3 linked regions of the Drosophila melanogaster genome follow. The protein of the gene in region 3 purifies or fractionates together with the protein of the main gene of each other region. This does not show direct contact. Each region holds a gene or a part of one and is shown on either strand. Other genes may lie near its edges.

The links. Proteins that work in one complex are often made in the same cells at the same time.
Region 1: the proteins of rempA (region 3) and Kap3 purify together in Drosophila melanogaster (affinity purification with western blotting, with the first as the bait; one study listed by BioGRID). This does not show direct contact.
Region 2: the proteins of rempA (region 3) and Klp64D purify together in Drosophila melanogaster (affinity purification with western blotting, with the first as the bait; one study listed by BioGRID). This does not show direct contact.

The regions. Positions count from the first base shown.
Region 1 is NC_004354.4:11,333,663-11,341,372, reverse strand, and holds Kap3 (kinesin associated protein 3), read left to right. Parts: upstream 1-1,784; 5' UTR 1,785-1,845; coding exon 1,846-2,159; intron 2,160-2,548; coding exon of another isoform or gene 2,549-2,583; coding exon 2,584-2,701; intron 2,702-3,510; coding exon 3,511-3,676; intron 3,677-3,729; coding exon 3,730-4,044; intron 4,045-4,109; coding exon 4,110-4,246; intron 4,247-4,309; coding exon 4,310-4,498; intron 4,499-4,563; coding exon 4,564-6,039; intron 6,040-6,120; coding exon 6,121-6,377; intron 6,378-6,439; coding exon 6,440-6,584; 3' UTR 6,585-7,186; downstream 7,187-7,710. Other genes in the region: CG34348 (uncharacterized protein), read right to left, coding at 628-766, 876-921.
Region 2 is NT_037436.4:5,356,340-5,361,080, forward strand, and holds Klp64D (Kinesin-like protein at 64D), read right to left. Parts: upstream 3,054-4,741; 5' UTR 2,916-3,053; coding exon 882-2,915; 3' UTR 525-881; downstream 1-524. Other genes in the region: Cyt-c1 (cytochrome c1), read left to right, coding at 4,001-4,072, 4,353-4,400, 4,538-4,686.
Region 3 is NT_033779.5:553,241-560,845, reverse strand, and holds rempA (reduced mechanoreceptor potential A), read left to right. Parts: upstream 1-1,766; 5' UTR 1,767-2,083; coding exon 2,084-2,230; intron 2,231-2,304; coding exon 2,305-2,903; intron 2,904-2,963; coding exon 2,964-3,124; intron 3,125-3,180; coding exon 3,181-5,336; intron 5,337-5,399; coding exon 5,400-6,510; intron 6,511-6,571; coding exon 6,572-6,909; 3' UTR 6,910-7,104; downstream 7,105-7,605. Other genes in the region: uncNacbeta (putative nascent polypeptide-associated complex beta subunit), read left to right, coding at 1-52; Tspo (translocator protein), read right to left, coding at 531-749, 809-1,147.

The sequences.
Region 1 (7,710 bases), on a different chromosome or scaffold from region 3:
CAACTGAAATCTAAGAACTCAAGTAATTGCTTTAGTTTCAAAAACTTTTTCGAGCTAGAAACACATGTAGATTATGCTTATCGTATTAATTTACTTAATTTGCAGAAAACGATCAATTATTGCTGAGCACTTTTTTTAATGCCCATAATTTCGATGATTCAACACATATTCACGGTTTGTCAAAATGTTAATTTCAGCGTTTTGGGAAACAGCTGCATCATAAGTTCCCTTAAAAACAGTGAAAACTAAGTTTATTGGACTATATTACGTTTTCTGTTTGCCTTATAGAGTGTCCACTGTATTCCCGTGCTTTGTTTTATCTAGCTTTTTTTGTTGGCAACACTGGCTGCCCAACTCTCTCCCACTCTACGCCCCTTCCTTACAACGCCATCTCTTTTTATGTTCCCTTTTAATTACAGGTGCAGAGCGGGACGGAAGACGCCGGCCAAAGGGGGAAGGGGTGCGTGGTAAGGGTGAGTGGGGGAAACTTGGCTCCAAAAGTGCGCGATCAGCATGAGAGAGTTCATTAACAGTTGCAATTGAGCCCGCGAAGCACACTGTAATTGTTGTAATTCCAATTTCCCACCCAACTTATACGCAGCTTTCCAACATTTCCATTTCGCTTACCTGTGCAGCTTGTAGATGAATAGCACCAGGAACGAAATGTAGATGAGGGCCACGAAGACCAGCGGCAGCAGAAAGGTGACAATCAGGGGGGTGAGGAAGCGATATAGCCATAGCGAATAGTCCAGATCGATGTAGGAGGCTAGAATCACAAGGTATGCAGTTGGTGGAGGGGCATTTGTTATGTATGTATGTATGTACATAGGTCAGCGGTGCGCCTTATCGGGCGCCAAATATTCGATATTACTCACACAACAGGGAGTGCAGCGTTTTGTACAGGTTCTCCAGAAATTCCATTGTCAGGCGCTGCTCCACCTCATTTGTTGTTCTTGCGCGAAAAGAGAAGCGACCGCCCACCACAACAAAAACACAAAAAAAAACGGTAGAAAAAAGAAGGGAAAATACGACAGAACAAAAAAAAAAAAAAAAAAAACAAATCGGTTTGGCCTGATTTTGTACACTTTCTTCGGCTCGCTTTGCGCTTTTCGAATTCTTTTCGCTTCCTCCTGCTTGGCGATTCTTTTAAATGGTCATCGTATAGTGCGTTTCATTTGAATCAGTATTTAGTATTTGCGCGGCTTGAAATGCATTTTATTTGCATGTTATTTGCTATTGTTATTGTTATTGTCAGTCGAGACTGTTTGCTGGTTTGTTTGTTGTGATTTTCCTAGCACAATGTAAACAATTCGCGGCGCTGCGCTCCACTCGGCTCACACGCAGTAGAGACAACCGACACCGTTCGCAGTCAGAAACATTGTGATCGCGCCGCGCTTTTTTTTGGTTAATAATACTACAAAGTAGCGATTCTTTTATTGTTGTTCCTTCATTCCATTTCGTTTGCTTTTCTGTTGCTCATCTACGTTCTTTGCACCTGGCAACGCCGGCCCAGCTGTTCTGGCTGCAGTCGTTGCCAGACTTTGGTTCTTGGCACCCAGAACAGAACAGTGATGCTCTCTTGGCTAATCACACCTGTTTCTAGCCGGTCAAGGAAGTTCGAGGAAAAACAAAGTTGTTAGTATACTGCATATTATGAATGGCAAGTTCCCAATTAGAATACAACCGCCAACTTGAATTTGAACATTCGCTTATTGGTTTGTATCGATTGAGTGCTATCGGTAATTGCCGGGTGCCGTGGCACCATCGATAGTACCGCCAGTGAGCAGACAGTTGTGCCAGCACTAGCACTTATCGACATTAAATCGGAAGTCGCATTGCAATCGCATGCAATTTGTTTTGTTATTAATTTTCCAAATAATCTCGGGCCTGGTGCTGCTGCCAATTGTGATTCACTACGTCTATTACATAATAAATGCGATTGCCGGCGATCTGTGCGAGCAGAAGAGAGCGCAAAGAGAGCAGCAGCTGCAAAGGAGCCCCACTCCGCGCCACCAAAACCGCCACCCCCCGCATCCGCCACCCACCGAAGAGGAGCCTGTGCTTTCCATAAACAATTTGACAAATTCTAGTCGCTCTCCGACAGCAGCAGCAACAACAACTGCAATGCAAACAAACGATGACGCCAAGTTTATAAAAAAGTGCGTATGTATGGGATTAGATCGTGCGTGCGTGCGTGTGTGTGTTTGTTTGTTTTCATGTGTGGGTGTACAAGTGGCCGAAGAACAAAAGAAATAGCTAAAGCACTCGTCATGCGTCAGAAAGAGAGCCACAATCACCTGGCGCTCTCTATTGATTTTCCACTTTGCGTTCACGCTTCCTCCTTTTGTTTTTTGTTATTTGCAACCGTTAATCGTTATTCGTTATTCGTTGGGTTCTTAACTTTTTTGTTCGTTTTATTAAAACAAAAGCACAAGTTAAGCCAGGCTCAAAAAAAGAATTGGATTGAAAAATCTATTACCTCATTACGCATTGAACCGCATAATTTATGATTGATCCAACAATTTGTCTCGCTCTCAATCCAAAACAAATGCAACGACAACAACAAACAAACAAACAACGAAGGAGGTGGAAAGGCGGATCCATTGAACCGCATCCCACGGATAAGGCGCTGATTGTCAACTACCAACTGGAGGCCACCGTCTTCGGGGAGCCCAACAATCCGATGATCGAGGAAAAGAAGGTAAGAACGCACGGTTACACATCGCTGCACTGGGAGAAAATGCTAGTAGATATTAGAAAATTAAAATAGGACCAGCATTATTGGTATCAAAGATGTTGATAGGGAAAGAATATAATAACAACAATATGCGAACATCTGTAACTTAGTTCTTAACTATGTTAGGTTCATAAAAAAAAAGGAAACAAAGTTGATCCTTAATCGAATAGGTTGAAAAATTGATCTAGATGTGTACACATACATATATTGCTTATTAGTTTAAATACTAGCAGTCATTGTTCTACAAAAACATCCGAATGAGTACTTAAAAAAGCTACTTCTGTTTCTTCCGGTGTGCCCCGAAAAGGGTTAAGGGGCGGGGGGCAGAAGCTGACATTGAGCGGCCCAATCGATAGCGCAACAACAACGGGGTCGATGACGGCCTGCGCTCCAAGTAGTGAGTGAAAAATGTAAAACCACAGCAACAAAAAAAAAAAGATACCCAAAAGCGGTTGGTTGGCCGGGTCTTTAACCTCAATTCACGTTTTTTGGCCGAGCGACAAGCTTATTTTTCGCCGATTGTTCACGACCATAAATATGTACTACATAAGTAAGTCTCTTATGTTTTGCTCTTGGCCATAAATATTGGCGACCAAAAAAGTTTTCAGCTTAGATGCGAAGTGGTTAATTGCCCTGAAGTGGTCCTAAACTAGTTCCTCAATCCTAATAATTACTCTATGTTTATAAATAGCAAAATAACAGCAAAAACAATTAGCCTAATAGTACATTATTTCAGTCGTTAACTAATGCATGTATTGTATTTAATCGCCCAGCACTGTCAAAAAATCATACGACTCCGTTCGCTGAACGCCAAAACGGATCCGGCTGCCTTGGCACGAGAAGTGGTGGAGAAGTGCGATCTCATCCACAAGTCCCAGCTTAATGACGTCGAGCAGATAATCTTTTATCTGAAGAATCGCAAGGATAATGCAAGCAATGGTAAGCAGTTAGATTGTTAGCAGAAATCCATACTAACACTCAGTACCCATTAGATATACCGGATAACAACACTCACAGCCGGCGATCGGCGGCGCTGCACACTTCGCACACCCGCTCCTCTGCTCGATCGCACAGCAGTGTGGCGGCCATGACCAGCAGCACCGGCAGCGGCGGAGGATCCACTGGAGCTAGCAATGGTGTCTCGAATGCCCTGAGTGCCGCCACGCCCACGGCGGATGTGTCCATAAACAATATCGATGAGTATGTGGAGCTGCTGTACGAGGAGCTGGGCGAACGCATTCGAGGCTCGGCCATGATCCTACAGATGGCGCGAAATCCCGATAATCTTGAAGAGCTGGAAAAGAATGGTAAGGATAAGTTTGCAGTTCTGTAGTTTTGAACCCAAACCCAATGTACTATTTCATCATTTTAGAAGCCTGCCTCAGCGCCTTGTCACGTGTTCTGCGCGAGGACTGGCGCAAATCCCTGGATCTCTCCACCAACATAATCTACATATTCTTCTGCTTTTCCACATACACCAAGTTTCATCCGCTCATTGTGCAATATAAGGTGGGAATAGAGTTTCTTAATTAAGTTCTAAGCACTCATTTAATCGTTGTTAATCTATTTCAGATTGGATCGCTGTGCATGGATGTGATTGACTATGAGCTGCGTCGCTACGAGACAATGAGAAATGAGCTGGACGTGCGCAAACAGCCCAATGGATCATCCACTCCACATTCGGCAAAGGCCAGCAAGGAGAAGCTGAACCGCAGCACCGACGATTTCCTGGACATCATGAACGAGGAGAAGCCCAAGGAGGTAATTTTATTTCTATAAGTTCTTGAAAAACATATCTATCGAATACTCAACAAATTCACTTTCAGATGGAGCCGCCGCGTCGTCGCATTCCGGAGCTAAAACAGCGTCCCAAGTCGGGCAATTGGAGCAGCTTTCACGGCTCCATGTCATCGTCGCTGATCAAGAGTCAGATCCTGAATAGCAGCTATCACGAGTCCCTTTGCGCCGGCGGTTCACCTGGCGGCGATACTCCGGCTGTGCCCGCTGAACAGAAGGCCCAAAGCAACGAGTCGCTGGACAGGAATGATCCCAAAGTGAAGAAGGAGGAGATCGATCGGCTGAACAAGCAGCTTAAGATCTTTGCCAAAAAGCAGGAGCAACTGTTGCGCGTGGCCTTCTACCTGCTGCTGAACATGGCCGAGAATGTTAAGCTGGAGGAGAAGATGCGCCGCAAGCATATCGTTAAGATGTTGGTCAAGGCGCTGGATAGGCAGAATATCGATCTACTCATGCTCGTCAGCACGTTCCTCAAGAAGCTATCGATTGTGGGCGACAACAAGGACGAGATGGGCGCTTTGAACATTGTGGCCAAGTTGCCACGATTGTTCCAGAGCACGCACACGGATCTGGTGCAGGTCACCTTGAAGCTGGTCTTCAATCTCTCCTTCGACGGCGGACTGCGTCGCAAGATGATCGCCGCCGGCTATCTGCCCATGCTGGTGATGTTCATCAACGATGAGAAGCATCACGGCATTGCTGTGAAAATACTGTACCACATGAGCTTGGATGACAAAGTGAAGGGCATGTTCACGCAAACGGAGTGCGTGCAAATGGCCACGGATGCCATAATCCTAAACCTCAATGTTAAAGTCGATTTGGATCTCATTGCCTTGTGCATTAATCTCTCGCTAAATCGCCGTAATGCCCAGATTATGGTGGAGGGCCAAAGATTGCATAGCCTAATGGATCGGGCCTTCAAGTACCAGGATGCCTTGCTGATGAAGCTGCTGCGCAACTTGTCGCAGCACGAGTCCCTGCAGCTGCAGTTCATCGACTATGTGGGAGATCTGGCGCGCATTTTGACCATCTGCGATGACGAGGCCTTCATAGTCGAGTGCCTCGGCATTTTGGGTAACCTGGCCCTCACCGATTTGGATTACTCGCAGATCTTGCAGAACTTCCAACTGATTCCATGGATTAGACAGATACTGCTGCCGTGCGCCAGAATGGACGACCTTGTGCTGGACACCATTGTTTACTTGGGCACCTGTGCCTGCGACGAGTTGTGTGCCCTGCTCTTCTGCCGCGCCAAAGTGGTTATATCCCTGATCGAGTTGCTTAAAGCGAAGCAGGAGGATGACGAGATTGTGCTGCAGATCATCTTTGTGTTTCAGCAAATCCTGCGACACGAAAGCACCAGGGAGTACATGATCAAAGAGACGGAATCGGCGGCCTATCTCATCGATCTGATGCACGACAAGAACGAGGAGATCCGCAAGGTGTGCGACTATTGCTTGGACATTATTGCCATAAGCGACAGCGAGTGGGCCAAGCGCATCAAGGTGAGTTGCTTGCCAGTCCAAATATGGCATATCTTAGTACAAACTTGTTTGTGTTTTCTTGTTCTCGTTGTTACATGGCAGCTGGAGAAGTTCCGCAACCACAATTCGCAGTGGCTGTGCATGGTGGAGTCGCAGCAGGACCAGGACAATGAGCAGGACTACGCCGATCAGGAGGACGAGTGCGACAATGATCTGGACACGTATCTGCGCTCCGAGTACTTGGACAATTGCGATCTCTACAACGACAATGCCGACAATGACAGCAATAGCAACAGCAACCATAGCAACAACAATCCGGCCAGCCCGGCCATGTCCACCTACAGCAGGCCACTGAGCACGTGAGTTTTGACCAAGTTTCCACTTCGATTCGAGTAATTAAGTGATAAATCACATGGTACAGCTATCGCCGCAGCCAGGATCTCGATGATTTGTACAACATGACCTCCAGTTCCAAGTCGCAGGGCTCCAGCGACAACAACTACATATTCAAGTCGAACAAATCCCTGGATGCCGATGGTCTGCACGAGGAGCTGCTGATGGCTTAAATGAGGAGAAAGGTCCTAACCCGAATCGATTGAATTTGAATTAAGATGCTTCTGCCGATTGCCCGCCCTCCCGTGTACATGTTTAGTCACTCTGCCTATTAACGACCTTCTGCTTGGATTTATTGGATATTTATATATATATATATATGTATACATATATACGACACCTTTCACGCTTGTTAGTCAAAGACGTTAAATGATTTTAGCGACGCGGCAACTTTGTACTCAAGACATTCAAAATGAGCAACGGCGCACAGACACTGGTTAGTTTAAGTTTGGTTACTTACTTATTGGTATGGTATTTTTTTGTTTGTTATTTATTAATATTTAATTTATTGAGGTCTTGTTTAAGTGCGATGTATGGCTTAGCTTCCACTTTGGTTGTTCGCAACGCAATTACTGTGCAATAATCTCTCACTTAAAGTATTACGTCGAACGTTTTTAGTTGTACTTGTTTTAGTTTACCGAACCTAAACTTTTCGTTTTCTCGAATATCTTACGAACAAAAGTCAAATTGTAATATTAAACAGTGGGCGACAAATGAAACGCCGACATAATGAAACGCCGAAGAATATAAACAAAGCTAATGTAAATGTTCACCTAGTTCGTATTGTTTTCTTTGGTTTTGTTGGCTGTTCAAAAAAAAAAAAAAAAAAGGGGTGAGTACTTTTCCCATTCCGCAGAGCTGTTTGTCTCGCCATTAAAATGCAACAATTTGAAATAATATTGGCTTTTAATTTTGTGTTACACAATAAGGAATATTAAGTTGCAGTTCGTTTCCGAAACATACTTATGACAGTGGCTAGACCGATCCGATAAACATGCATATATCTAGGTATGTATGTATGGTACGTGTATATATAAATAGAAGAATATGCTCTCTAGTTCACTTTATATATATATATATATATATATATATATATCGTGGATATCCGTAAGGCGAGGCCTTCTAGCGTTCAATGTTAAGCTTAACCTAGATATCTCCACTTCAGCTTCAGCATCGGCATCTCCCACTGATTGGTGTTCCGTTTCCACTTCGATTTGACTTGGATCGCTTCGCACATCTGCCGCAGTTTTTGCACTTAGACTATGGTTTTAACAAATTTTTACACAAATATCAGACACA
Region 2 (4,741 bases), on a different chromosome or scaffold from region 3:
TCTGGTTCCATAGTGTAGCGGTTATCACGTCTGCTTTACACGCAGAAGGTCTCCGGTTCGATCCCGGATGGAACCAGGAGGAAGTAACTTTTTTTTATTTTTATTTTTTTAAACGCTTACTAAGTGGAGTTTTAGCAAACAAAAGTATATAATATGTTATATATAATTCTTTCGTGTTCATAGTATACACAAAAATCAGTTGTTTTTACTTAAGTATTATTTAGTATTTTGTGGGAATAAAAAACTTGAATTTATGTTTTCTGTCGTAATAAAAATTAATAAACATATAATGAATTTAAAAAAATATATACTTTTGTCAACGTGGTTCCATCCGGGATCGAACCGGAGACCTTCTGCGTGTAAAGCAGACGTGATAACCGCTACACTATGGAACCTGTTATGAGTAGGTCGGCCAAATTTCAGTTTTCTTCAGCAAGCCCGGAAAATTTAAAGCATGCTTTCAAGCTGCTAAAAAATAAAAAGAAATTACGCATAATTCCTTGAAGTAAGAATATAAAATAATTACGTGTGAGTATCATATTTTTATTTAAAAGCCAAGAGCACACAATAGTTATATATTTGTGCCTAATCGGGTAAAATCTTGTTACTACTTAGTTGTAAGTATTATAAAATAAATATAAGTTAGAAAGTAAAATTACAAACACAGTAGTAAATATATTGCACCGTTGTTCAACCTAAAAAGTATGTCCTAAGCAATAAATCAACAAAAACTAAGGTCTAACAAAAAGGAAATTCGCTGAGCAAATGAATCTGAGGCTGTAGAAAATCAAGATTAGCAGGAGCAGAAACCAAAATTGGACGCGCAGACCGCCGAGGACATGCAGCTGGACTAGCAGTCGATTGTCCTTCCAACACTAGCTTCAATATCGCCTGGCAGTCGTCGGTCTGGGCACACCCGAGGTTCGCGGCCTGGCGGATTTGGAGCGCATTGGATTGGACACGCCATCGGTGTTGTAGCTGAGATAGACATGTGAGAGATCGAGGAAATCTGGCTCCTTGCCACTCGTCTTGTGCGCCGAGATGTGTTTCCTCATATTGTTACCCGTGTAGGCCACACACTTCAGCTGCCACTCGCCGATGTCCTCGTTCCAGTGCGTATACTGATTAATCATCGATTGGTACTCCTTGGGCACATAGGAATTTAATACCAGCTCACATAAGGCCAATTCCCTGGATAGGCTCCTGATATTCTCGTATATGCCCTCCTTTTCGCGCTGGTGCTCCTGCTGCTGATCCGCCAGCTCCGATTTCACGCCCATCAGCATCTGCATCACCCGGTGTATCTTCTTGGTAATGCCAGTGCTGGCATCTTGAAGCGTGGAGTAACGCTCCTCAATGTCAATCCTTTCGGTGGCCTTTTGCTGTAGAGTTTGCTTCAGCGCCTCCTCGGACTTTTCATGTTGTTCCAGCTCCGCAATGGATTGCTCTAGCAGCAGCTCTTGCGTCTGGGCTTTCTCCAGCAGATTCTCGCCGCCAACGAGAATTTTACCTTCCAATGAGACTAGTTTATTGCGAAGTGTTTCCTGCTCCGTCTTAGCATGCTCGATTTCCTTCTGATGCTCGTTTTTGCGCTTGGCCAGTTCCTCCTTTTCGGCATCGGTTTTCTCGCGCTTCTTCTTGGGTTTTTTCTCCACAGCCTGGATCGTTGATGATTCCAATTCGATCTCCAGTGGTGCCTCCAGTTCGTCATCTGCTGTATCCTCCTCCTCTTCGGAGCTCGGTGGCTCCTCCTCCAAGCTGTCGCCCTCCTCCAATTGCTTGCGAAGTCGGGCAATCTCCTCCTGAAAGTGACGAAGCAAAGCATCCTTGGGTTCCTCATTGATGTGCATGCGATTTTGGATATTCTTAGCACGACTAGCATAGCGAAGTGTGGATATAGTTTCCATATAATTGCTATCCGCTGGACTAATGGTGGCACACATGACGGTCTTGGAGTTACCACCGAGGGAGTCCTGCAGAAGTCGAGTTAACTTGGAGTTCCGATACGGTATGTGGGTGCTTTTTCCATCCACCAAAGCACTGATCACATTTCCCAGCACCGATAGCGAAAGATTAATCTTGGTGGCCTCTTTAAGTCTCTGTCCACTGGCCTGGGTCTTCGACTGCCTTTCGGAGCCGGCGAGATCCACCAGCTGTAGTTTACCCATCCTTACGTGCTGGACATCACCTTCGCCCAGCTCACTTCTCTCCACAGTAATGGAGAAAATGGCATGGGAGCGGGAGCTCTCCTGGTTCATTTTGGTGGCTCCCACGGCACGATTTTTGTTACCCAAACGCATGATGTTCTCCAGATCATCGGCGTTGTGCACCACATAGCCACTGAGATCCTTAACAAAGACACCGATGTCCGGTCGCTCCTTGACCTCCAGGCTCTTGCCCACATCCTTGCCCAGTAGATCCCGCACCTCTTCGTTATAGATCTCCATGTAGCTGACGCGCACCAGGAACTTCTGATTCTCCTTGGCCTTAGCAATGTGACCAAAGATGTGCGCAAATGCATTCGGAATGATGCCCTTTGTTTGCGGCGAATCCGGATTCCCCGACATGGTATACGTCTTGCCGGTGCCCGTTTGTCCGTAGGCCAAGATGGTGCCATTATAGCCCTCCAGCACCTTGTCCACAATCGGACGAGCGGTGTCCACATAGAGATCCATTTGATTGGAGCCACCATCGAATACATTGTCGAAGTAGTACGTTTTCGGCGGTTCATTGGCGGTGGCATTCGGTTTCATCACCGTAATGGCCCGGTTGATCTTATCCACCGAAATCGCACTTAGCGCTCCCGCGGACAACTCATTTTTGTCCATGGGTCGCGTTCGCACCACCACACGCACATTCTCGATTTCGTCATCGAGTTGGGCCGTTGTTCCCGCATTTGCCTCCTCCTGCGGCATGGCGATCTACGTCCTGGCTTTATTCCTCGTCTAGTGAAAGCTATTAACCACTATTTGCGCTGACCGCACTTAGTGGAAATCAATAAAGGGGGTTTTTTCTCGCATTTGTTTATGCGTTGCTAGGTTTTTTTTGTTGGCGAATCATTAACGGGTGGTCAGCTGTTATCGATAAGTGTGCGAAAAACGGGCGAGAAGGATGCCAGACCAGCGGAAAAATCTATTCATCAGTGAGACAAAATAATTTTATATATTTTTTTTTAAATAATATATATATAAAAACAATTAGCAAAAATAAAAATAAAATTATAATATTGACCTGTGATATAAGCAATCGAAGGTTATTTTGTGAACTGCGATAATTGTACTTATTTTTACTTTTTGAAAATCCTTTTTCAAGGCTTTTAAGAATTTTATAGATATTTCGAAAAGAATTCAATAATAAAAATTAAAATCTTTTTTTGTGATAACAGCGCAGTGAAACATGAAAAATTACATAACAGCAACCAAAAATTTGGCTAAGGCTAAGGCAGCTGTTTTTAGAGCTGTTCTGTCAACTTATCTTATGAAATCATCAAGTGGTTTCTAAAAAATCAAAAAATCCAACTTAATGTCAACAAGTAGTTCCAATTAGATTATGAAGTATTTTGAATCAACAAGTTGGAAAACCGTAAATTCGAAGATATAATAAAGAACATGAAAGAAAAAAAAAACACTAAAAGCAATTAAGGTACACTGTGTAACAAATATTTATTAAAAAAGAAAAAAATAAAAAGTGATATTTTAAATGTATTATTTAAATTATACATACATTAATATCATATTATAAATAAATATCATACAGTAAATAAAAAAATAATAATAAAATAAAATTAAAATATCTGTTTAAAAATACCAAAATATCGCCCCCGCCGATTCCGATTCGCTGGCAAACGAGCGAGTTGCCCACCACCACCTCCGCGAGAGAGCAGCGAAGAAGAGGAAGACGTTGTGGCAGTGGTACTGAAAGATTGATTCGATTGGCGATTGGCTGCCCGCAGAGTTTCCTTAAACGACCAGACGACGCAGAAATTAAAACTCCGGCCACCATGGCAGCGACATTGCGAAGATTCCATGGCTTGAGATTGCTGAAATCCGCGCCAGCACTCAGCCTGCAGCAGGTAAAGATCGTGAACGGCGGATGCAAGTTTTTCAACAGCCACCGCAGCACCTTGAAGGAGTCGTGTGTCCGATGGAGAAAAACATGAAATAATACCGTAAAACATAAAATACAAGGACCAATGGTGCACTCTAGGTGGCACAGTGAGTGGTATCCGCAATTCCAATGGGATTAAATGAACTCGGATACGAACCGAACAATCCAATTATGTAACTCCGTGCAAAAATTCTTACTCTCCTTGGCCGAACATCCAAACTAAATGACATCCGTTCTTTTTGCAGGCGAAGAACCTCTCCTCCGCCGGCAGCTGGGCCAGTGGCAACAAGAAGGTAAGTCAGCTAGTCAGGAATCTCACATATTCCCCCACTTCGCATTTCATAATACCCGATCGGACCTAACCTCAAAACGCGTTTGCTTCTCGGTGACTGTGTGCGGCTGTATGTGCGTGTGTGTGCATCACGAACAGCTGATCGGCGCCTTGGGAGCAATCACCGGCGGAGTGGGCGCCCTTATCTACGCCCTGGAGCAGTCCGTGCAGGCATCTGGCGGCGAGGTGCACTCCCCCGCGCAACTCTGGAACCACAAGGGCCTCTTCGACGCTTTGGACCACCAGAGGTAATCCAAAAAACGGCGGTTAAACTGATCAGTGGTCGGGAACTGGGCATTTCCA
Region 3 (7,605 bases):
GAAGGCCGGAACTCCTACCAATCCTGCTTCCGCCTCTGGGGGTCCCAACTGATCCTCCTTCAGTCTATTTTCTAATCGGCGCCCTTGCATTTCAAACTCACTCGCATTTTCAGAGCCCATTTTCGCCTTCGTTAATCTCTGATGAACCCGGGTACTAACCGTTTTTTGATTATTTGTGGCCTTTACATTTTTGAATAAAATTATGATTTAACAAAGACTGAAGTGAATCGAGAAATTCTTTCTCAATATCTTTGGTTATTCCATTGCAATGTCACAACAAATTGTAGCCTATTAATCGTTCTCGAGAATAGCATTGAAAATTACGATTCTTTAATTTATTATTAACACATAACACATAGGGAATTTTTGAACGTGCAGCAGCATATGATACTTTGAATTTAGCGCCCCATTGGAGGCACTGCTTATCGATATTTTATCCAACTTTGCCCAGCCCTGGTTCGATAGGTCGGAAAGCCCTGCAATTTGCATGAAAGACACCCAAAATTACTTGTTTTTCGTTTATCCTGGGCTTAACTCGACTTAGCGTGGCTGCTAGAGGGCTTCTCCTCGTCCTTGGGCGCCTGCTCCTTCTCCGGGTTCAGCTTCCAGATGGCGTAGTTCAGAGCCGTCGCGAATCCCAGCCAGGCGACGTAGGGTACGAAGAGCAATCCAGCGGTCTTGTTCACTCGGTAGAACAGAACGCCGCAGGCGGACGCGGCGGCCGTGAGTGCAACTATGTCAATAAGGCCCTGGTGGATGAAGCGGATTAGACATAACACCTGGGCTTGGTGATATCAGCAGTACTCACGCCCTTGATGTTGTGCTGCCCGAAGAAAATGGGCGTCCACGCCCAGTTCAAGGCCAGCTGGGTGCCGTACGCGATCAGGGGCAGTTTGGCCGCCTCGCCGGCGAAGCCTCCGCCATCACGCCACACCAGGTAGGAGCCGTAGCCCATTCCCGCGTACAAGGAGATCCACATCGGCGCAAAGACCGAGTTGGGCGGCTTGAAGGACGGGAACTTAAGGTTGGCGTACCAGCTCTGGAGATGCTGCCTGGTCAGCCGCCCGTTATAGATGCCGCCCAGATTGGGCAGAATCACGGCCCCGGCGATGCGGAGAATGTTTCCAGCACACGGACGATCAGCCATTTTCAGAGTTCGCACTGCAAATGAGGCGCAGTAGTGGCGAACCTTCTGGTTTCACTGTTTTGTTTGCCGGTGATTTCATTCGAATGCACGAGTATTGCGAGTTAACGGGGCGAATACGCGACGGATGATTGTGTGGGTAAGCTCCAGCGATGCCAATTTGGCTAGATTTAAACTAGCTAAAGTATGTGGAATGCAACTTGAAATCAAAGACGCTAGAATTAATTAATAGAATCGCATGGTTATTTAGAGCTGTGAACATTTGATTTCTGCCATGAAGGAATTCTCATGTTTTTCTTTAACATGCTATCTGATTAATAGGGATTTAATATTTATCTGGAATTTTGGCAAAGCTGCAAAGTCATTGCTAAGCCGTTAATAGCTGGTTGTCACATGTGCAGGGGAGGAGCATAATGCTTATCAATAGATTCCAAAATGATGTAATGAATGAGTAATGTCGTCGATCTATGGAAGTAATTATTATAATTATATCTACCCATTCGTATTTATTTAAAATTATCTTCGCTGCTGGGTGTCGGAATCACCCTGTGGGTAGGCAGATTTAACAAAACCCGTTAAGTTTTGAAAATAGAAATAGAACTGTATTGTTGGGAAGTACCATATTAAATTCCCTGGAAAAGTTTTGTTTAGCTTGTTTGTTTGTTTTACCCCATGACAAATCGTGCGATCAAGTGGTGAATGATAACTTGAGAACTCATAAACCAAAGAGTTATTTGTCGGTAAAGTGAATTAATGGTGAAATAAAACTATTGTGCTTATTTGCTCTTTGCAATATCCAATAACCTGGATCAAGTTGGTATCTCAATTAATCAATTGCTTAGGAGCAACCATGACAACCGTTGCTAGGCAAACACATTGTTACTGTGTTTTGGCTCCTGCCAAAACAAATTCATCCACTAAAGGTGGAAAACCGGTGTGATGACTCTCTACTTTGACACGAAAATCGAGTTCTTGGACTCGGATGCAGTGAGCACCATCAGCAGCTGGCATCCCAGTGAGCCGCTCTTCGCAGTGGCCTCTTTTAGTCCCGAAAGAGGCGGTTCAGTGACCATCTTTGCAGATACCGTCAGTATTAATCGCTTTGGTCGCAGACCCTGCCAAAAATCGGAATGTATATAATCTATATAATCAAATTGCAGGGTGAGCCCCAGCGAGATGTAACTTATCCGGTGCACGCCACTTCGCAAGCGACGGCACTATGCTGGCATCCGGAGAAGGCGCTCCTGGCCAGCGGTTGGGAGCACGGCGACATCCATGTGTGGTTCGCTGGTCACAGGGAGTTTGCCAGCGTGAACGCACCGCACAAGGCGGCCATCGTCCTGCTGCAGTTCAGCGAGCAGGGCGGGCGGATGGTCACGGCGGATGCCATGGGCTTGGTCACCGGATGGCGCTGCGATGGCCAGTACCAGTTCCTAACCATGTTCTCCCACGACCTGCGGGAGGTGTTGCTGCTGATCTGCTTCCGCCTTACGGTGGAGAGTGAGGTGCGCGAGGAGATGGCCAATCTAGCCAAGGCTGCTGTGGCAGGCGATGAGAACGCCCTGGACACCCTAACCAATTGGAGACCGCGCACAGCAGCCCGGAGCATGACCCATTCGGGGGTGCGGGACAACCACTGCTTCTACGCTTGCACCCAAGGAGGAGTGGTGTACTACATCAACCAAGGAGGCGCCTGTGTCGAGGTGATGAAGTGCGGATCACTGCCTCCCATTGTCCAGATGTTGTGGCACCCAAGAAAGTAAAGAGCTGTTGAGATCGAAAGGTTCTTTACCTGAACCCTAACATTATTCCATTCTAGGGACGCCGTCATTTGCCTGATGGAGGACTTGACAGTCACCTTGTTTTTGGTTGAATCCACAGGCATCCTTACGGAGCTGGATCGTGTTAAAATGAGCGGACGTGGAGGCGGTCGGCAGGGAGGCATCGCGTGGTCTGGAAACTCTTTAGCCATCATAACAGGTAGGATATATTATTCGATTTTTCACTTCTGTGCTAAATTTAAGACTAATTTTCAGGCGATTTTTTCGTCCGCATTTGGGACATCGAGAGAAGCGACAATTACCTATTGAAAATGGACCTACCCAGTGGCAACCAGCCAGGCTCATCTATGACCACTTTAAGTAATGGCACCATGTCCTCGTCCAACCAATTCTTTAGCCATGACAGCAGCGAAAGCAGCGGCGTTCTCCGCAAGACACCAAAGTACGGCCAGCTGAACGGCGAAATGTTCACCTGCTTGGCATATAGCTCTACGGGACAGACTCTGTGTGCAGGAACGTCCCAGGGGAATGTCTATACTTGGAAGAGGAGCGGCAGCAGGCTAGTCGGTGCCCCCGAAGATGCCTGGCAGCTGACGAACATATCTTCCGTGCGAGGAGCCATCCGCAGCTGCGAATGGGGATACAATGAGCTAGCCAAGCCCTGCATGCTGGTCAACTGCCTTTCCAATGTTTTCATGCTGAAGGAGCAACCTCTGCTCGCCGTTCATACCCGCGAACTGTGGGCAGTTCAGAGGTCAGCCAAATCAGTGCAATTGACGCACTGCAGCGGTCGGGAGGCCATTGTTCAGTCCGAGTTCGCCGTGACTGCCATGGCTTTGAGTGAACTGAGCTTGGTGATGAGTAATGGCAGGAGCATATCATCCTATAGCCTGCAGAAAGTGGAGAAGAGCTTGGATGAGTTCGAGGAGATCCTGCAGACAGTGGAGGGCACAACACCGACGACGGAATCTACCACCACTCCGTTGAGTCTGAAACTCCTGCAGACCTTTGCTGCCGAATGCTTAGCCTTGAATCTGTGCAACCAGAACATATTTTGCTTGGGTAGCAGTGACGTTTTTGTTTACTCCGTGGGAGGGGTAGTGCTTCACCGCATTCAAGCAAGCGATATTGAAGGAAAGATCATTGGAATGGATTTGAGTGGCTGCTATCTCTCGGTATTTACCATGAATGGATATGTGAAAGCTTACGACGTTTCTAGGCACGATCCCAAGCTGCTCTTTCCCAGCAAATCGGGTCACGACATTTTCGATGACTTCGGGGAGTTCATTCTGGTCAAGTGCAATAGCTCCGGCAGCCACTTGGCCATGGTGATAGCCAGTAGCAATTTCACCCCTATATCCACTTTATTCTGCTGGGACTTTGAGCGCAGCAATCTTCTTGAATATGGACTACTGGAGCCAGAAACCAACGCCAAGAAGGAGTCTTCGACAAGTTTGCCGGTTCGGATTTTCTGGGATGCAGAGGAACCTCGTCTCTTGGCTACAGAAGTCAAGTCCATGATTCAGAAGACCCTGCCCCAGAAGAACTCCTTGCAACCCAGTCATTTTGTGCAGTCAAAAGTCGTCCTTTTGTTTTATTCCGAGAAAGGCTGCCTGAATGTCCTCGAAACACAATCCATGAGCCCAGGCTGCCAGCTACTGAACCTTTGTGTACCCAACGTGATCCGGCTGAAGATCAATACGATGGAGGAGCAACCTCTGCAAGACTTCGTCGACCTACAGCAGTGCAATCCAGTTACGAGGAAGCAAGTCCTGAATTTCAGTCTCTACGTCGCAGAGGGAAATATGGATATGGCTTATCGCAGCATTCGCTCGATTCAATCGAAAGTGATCTGGACAAATCTGGCTAAGATGTGCGTGCACACGAATCGCTTGGACGTGGCCAAGGTGTGCATGGGCCACTTGGAACAGGCCCGCTCCGTTCGTGCCTTACGCCAAGCGATTGAAGATGACGATCTGGAGACGGAAGCCAAGGTGGCTGTGCTGGCGATAGAACTCGGAATGATTGAGGAAGCCAAGGATCTTTATCGTCGATGCAAGCGCTTCGATTTGCTAAACAAGCTGCTCCAGTCCATTGGGCACTTGGATGAAGCAGTAGAGCTGGCCGAGGCCGAGGATCGGATTCATCTGAAGCACACGTACTATCAAAAGGCACAGGAGCTGCGAGAGAGGGGTGACATCAAGGGAGCTCTGGAGTACTTTGAAAAGACCCAGAATCCAGCGCAAAATATTACCCAACTGCTTTTGGAAAACCCTGGCGCCATGAAGCGCTACATCCAGACCACCAGCGATCCCAAGCTGCTTAAATGGTGGGGCCAGTATATTGAGAGCTCCGGCGACATGGATGCTGCTCTGGCTGTCTACCACAAGGCGGAGGACTGGTTCTCGCAGGTAAATTAGCAAGGCTTTAAGATACCACGAAACACTATACACTAACATCCTGTTCCTCTCAAGGTAAAGATACTCTGCTACCTAGGTAAGATCTCCAAGGCAGACGCGATTGCCAGGCAGTCGGGGGATCGGGCGGCCTGCTATCACTTGGCGAGGCATTACGAGAACGTGGGCAAGTTCCAGGAGGCCATTATGTTCTTTACGCGTGCCCAGACCTTCAGCAATGCGATCCGCATCTGCAAGGAGAACGACTTTCAGGAGGAACTATGGACGGTGGCCAGCTCGTCAAGGCAGAGGGACAAGGCAATTGCGGCAGCTTACTTTGAAGAGTGCGGAAACTTTAAACACGCCGTTGAACTCTACCATCGGGCCGGGATGCTCCACAAGGCCCTCGAGATGGCATTTGAGTCTCAGCAGCCAGAGATCCTGGAAATTATTGCCTCTGATCTAGCGCCCGATTCGGATGCCGAGTTGATTAACCGCTGTGCGGATTTCTTTTGCAGTATCGAGCAATTTCAGAAGGCCGTGCATCTGCTGGCCAAGACCAGACATTTGGAACGGGCATTGGGCATATGTTCCGAGAAGGGCGTACCCGTCACGGAGGAACTATCCGAGATGCTTACTCCGGAGAAGGGGGAGTTCGAGGAGGCGACTCGAGTCCACATCCTCGTACAGCTGGGCGAGTTCCTCCAGCAGCAGGGCGACTATCACAGTGCCACCAAGAAGTTCACCCAGGCTGGCGACAAAATTCGCGCCATGAAGAGTCTTTTGAAGTCGGGCAACACCGACAAAATTATTTTCTTCGCTAATATGTCGAGGCAACGTGAGGTCTACATCATGGCTGCGAACTATCTTCAAGCCTTGGACTGGCAATCGGATCCGCAAGTGCTCAAGCACATAGTCACGTTTTATACAAAGGGCCAGGCCTTTGATTCGCTGGCCAACTTTTATGCCATCTGCGCCCAGATCGAAATCGAGGAGTTCCAGGATTACGGTAAGGCTCTAACCGCCATGCAGGAAGCCTCCAAATGCCTGGAGAAGCTCAGCCACGCCCAGCACGTCTACAACAATCTGCAGCGCACGGTCGCGGATGTTAAGGCAATTCTGGAGATCCAGCAGGCGTTGCGCGAGGGGGATCACCAGCTGGTCATTGGCTCCTGCCGCAGCATGCTGAGTAAGTCGCTGGCCTAGAGTGTACTCAGCTTCCATTAATAACCTTTTGTTTTCACATTAAGTTAAACCCGAACTGCCGCCCATACGCCACGCCCATATCTTGGCCATGCTAATCCGAGCCCTGGTCTACGTCAAGGACTATTCTGAGGCGGGCAGAGCTTTGAAGGAGCTGACCGTGAAGGACAGCACGTGGAGTGCCTCGGGACTCTTGGATCGCAGCATCGTTCACAAAATTGCGCAGGAGTGCCACTTGGAGTTCGATCTCATCTGGAATGCGGGACGCCAGGTGACCGCCTCCACAAGCGGTACGGCCGCCACTGGAATGAGCAGCACTTCTGGGATGACGACTACTGATGATGACGACGCCGATGACGAGGAGATCACCGAGGAGCTGCATTAGATGATTCAATTAATAGGCGATGCAGCACCTAGTCACGTCCCAGTTCCGCAGAGCGGATAACAAGTAAATAGGCAAAAGAGTTCCCTTTAAATTGGATAAGCAATGGCTACAATGGAATGTTTCAACCAGCAGATACTAAGTTATGCTAAGATATTAAGTATTAATGATCATAAACGAAAGTATATACAATGACAGAAATCGTGGAAAGCATCTTAAAGTTCTCAATCAAAACGAACAAGTTACGTATTTGTATAACTTGTATTTGTATTTCACAAGACTGCTTAAATTTCTGCTTATATTGTATACAAATCCCTTGCTTGGGCCATTTGGAATTTTATGAATGAACTTCACGATGTACGCAAGCCTAGTAAAAGCTTTCGGTGCTGAAACATACATATGTATATGTATGTAGGTATATGACTTGGATGTGAGTTCAAGTGACCGACGTCACATCAAAGCAAATATAAACAGCGATACGGATTCGGATCGGCGGATCTGCCGGCGCCAGTCGGAAAGCAAAAGAGAGCGGCCATCCGTGAATCACTTGCCCAAAAGCGTCCGCGTCCTCAGCTATGTATGAAATCAGAGGCATTTCCAGGAAGCCAGCGAAACTCGGAACAATCGAAAGAGCAATCAGTTGGCGAACTGATATAAACTAAATCGAAAACGTCACCGACGTCAAGCAATTGGATATTT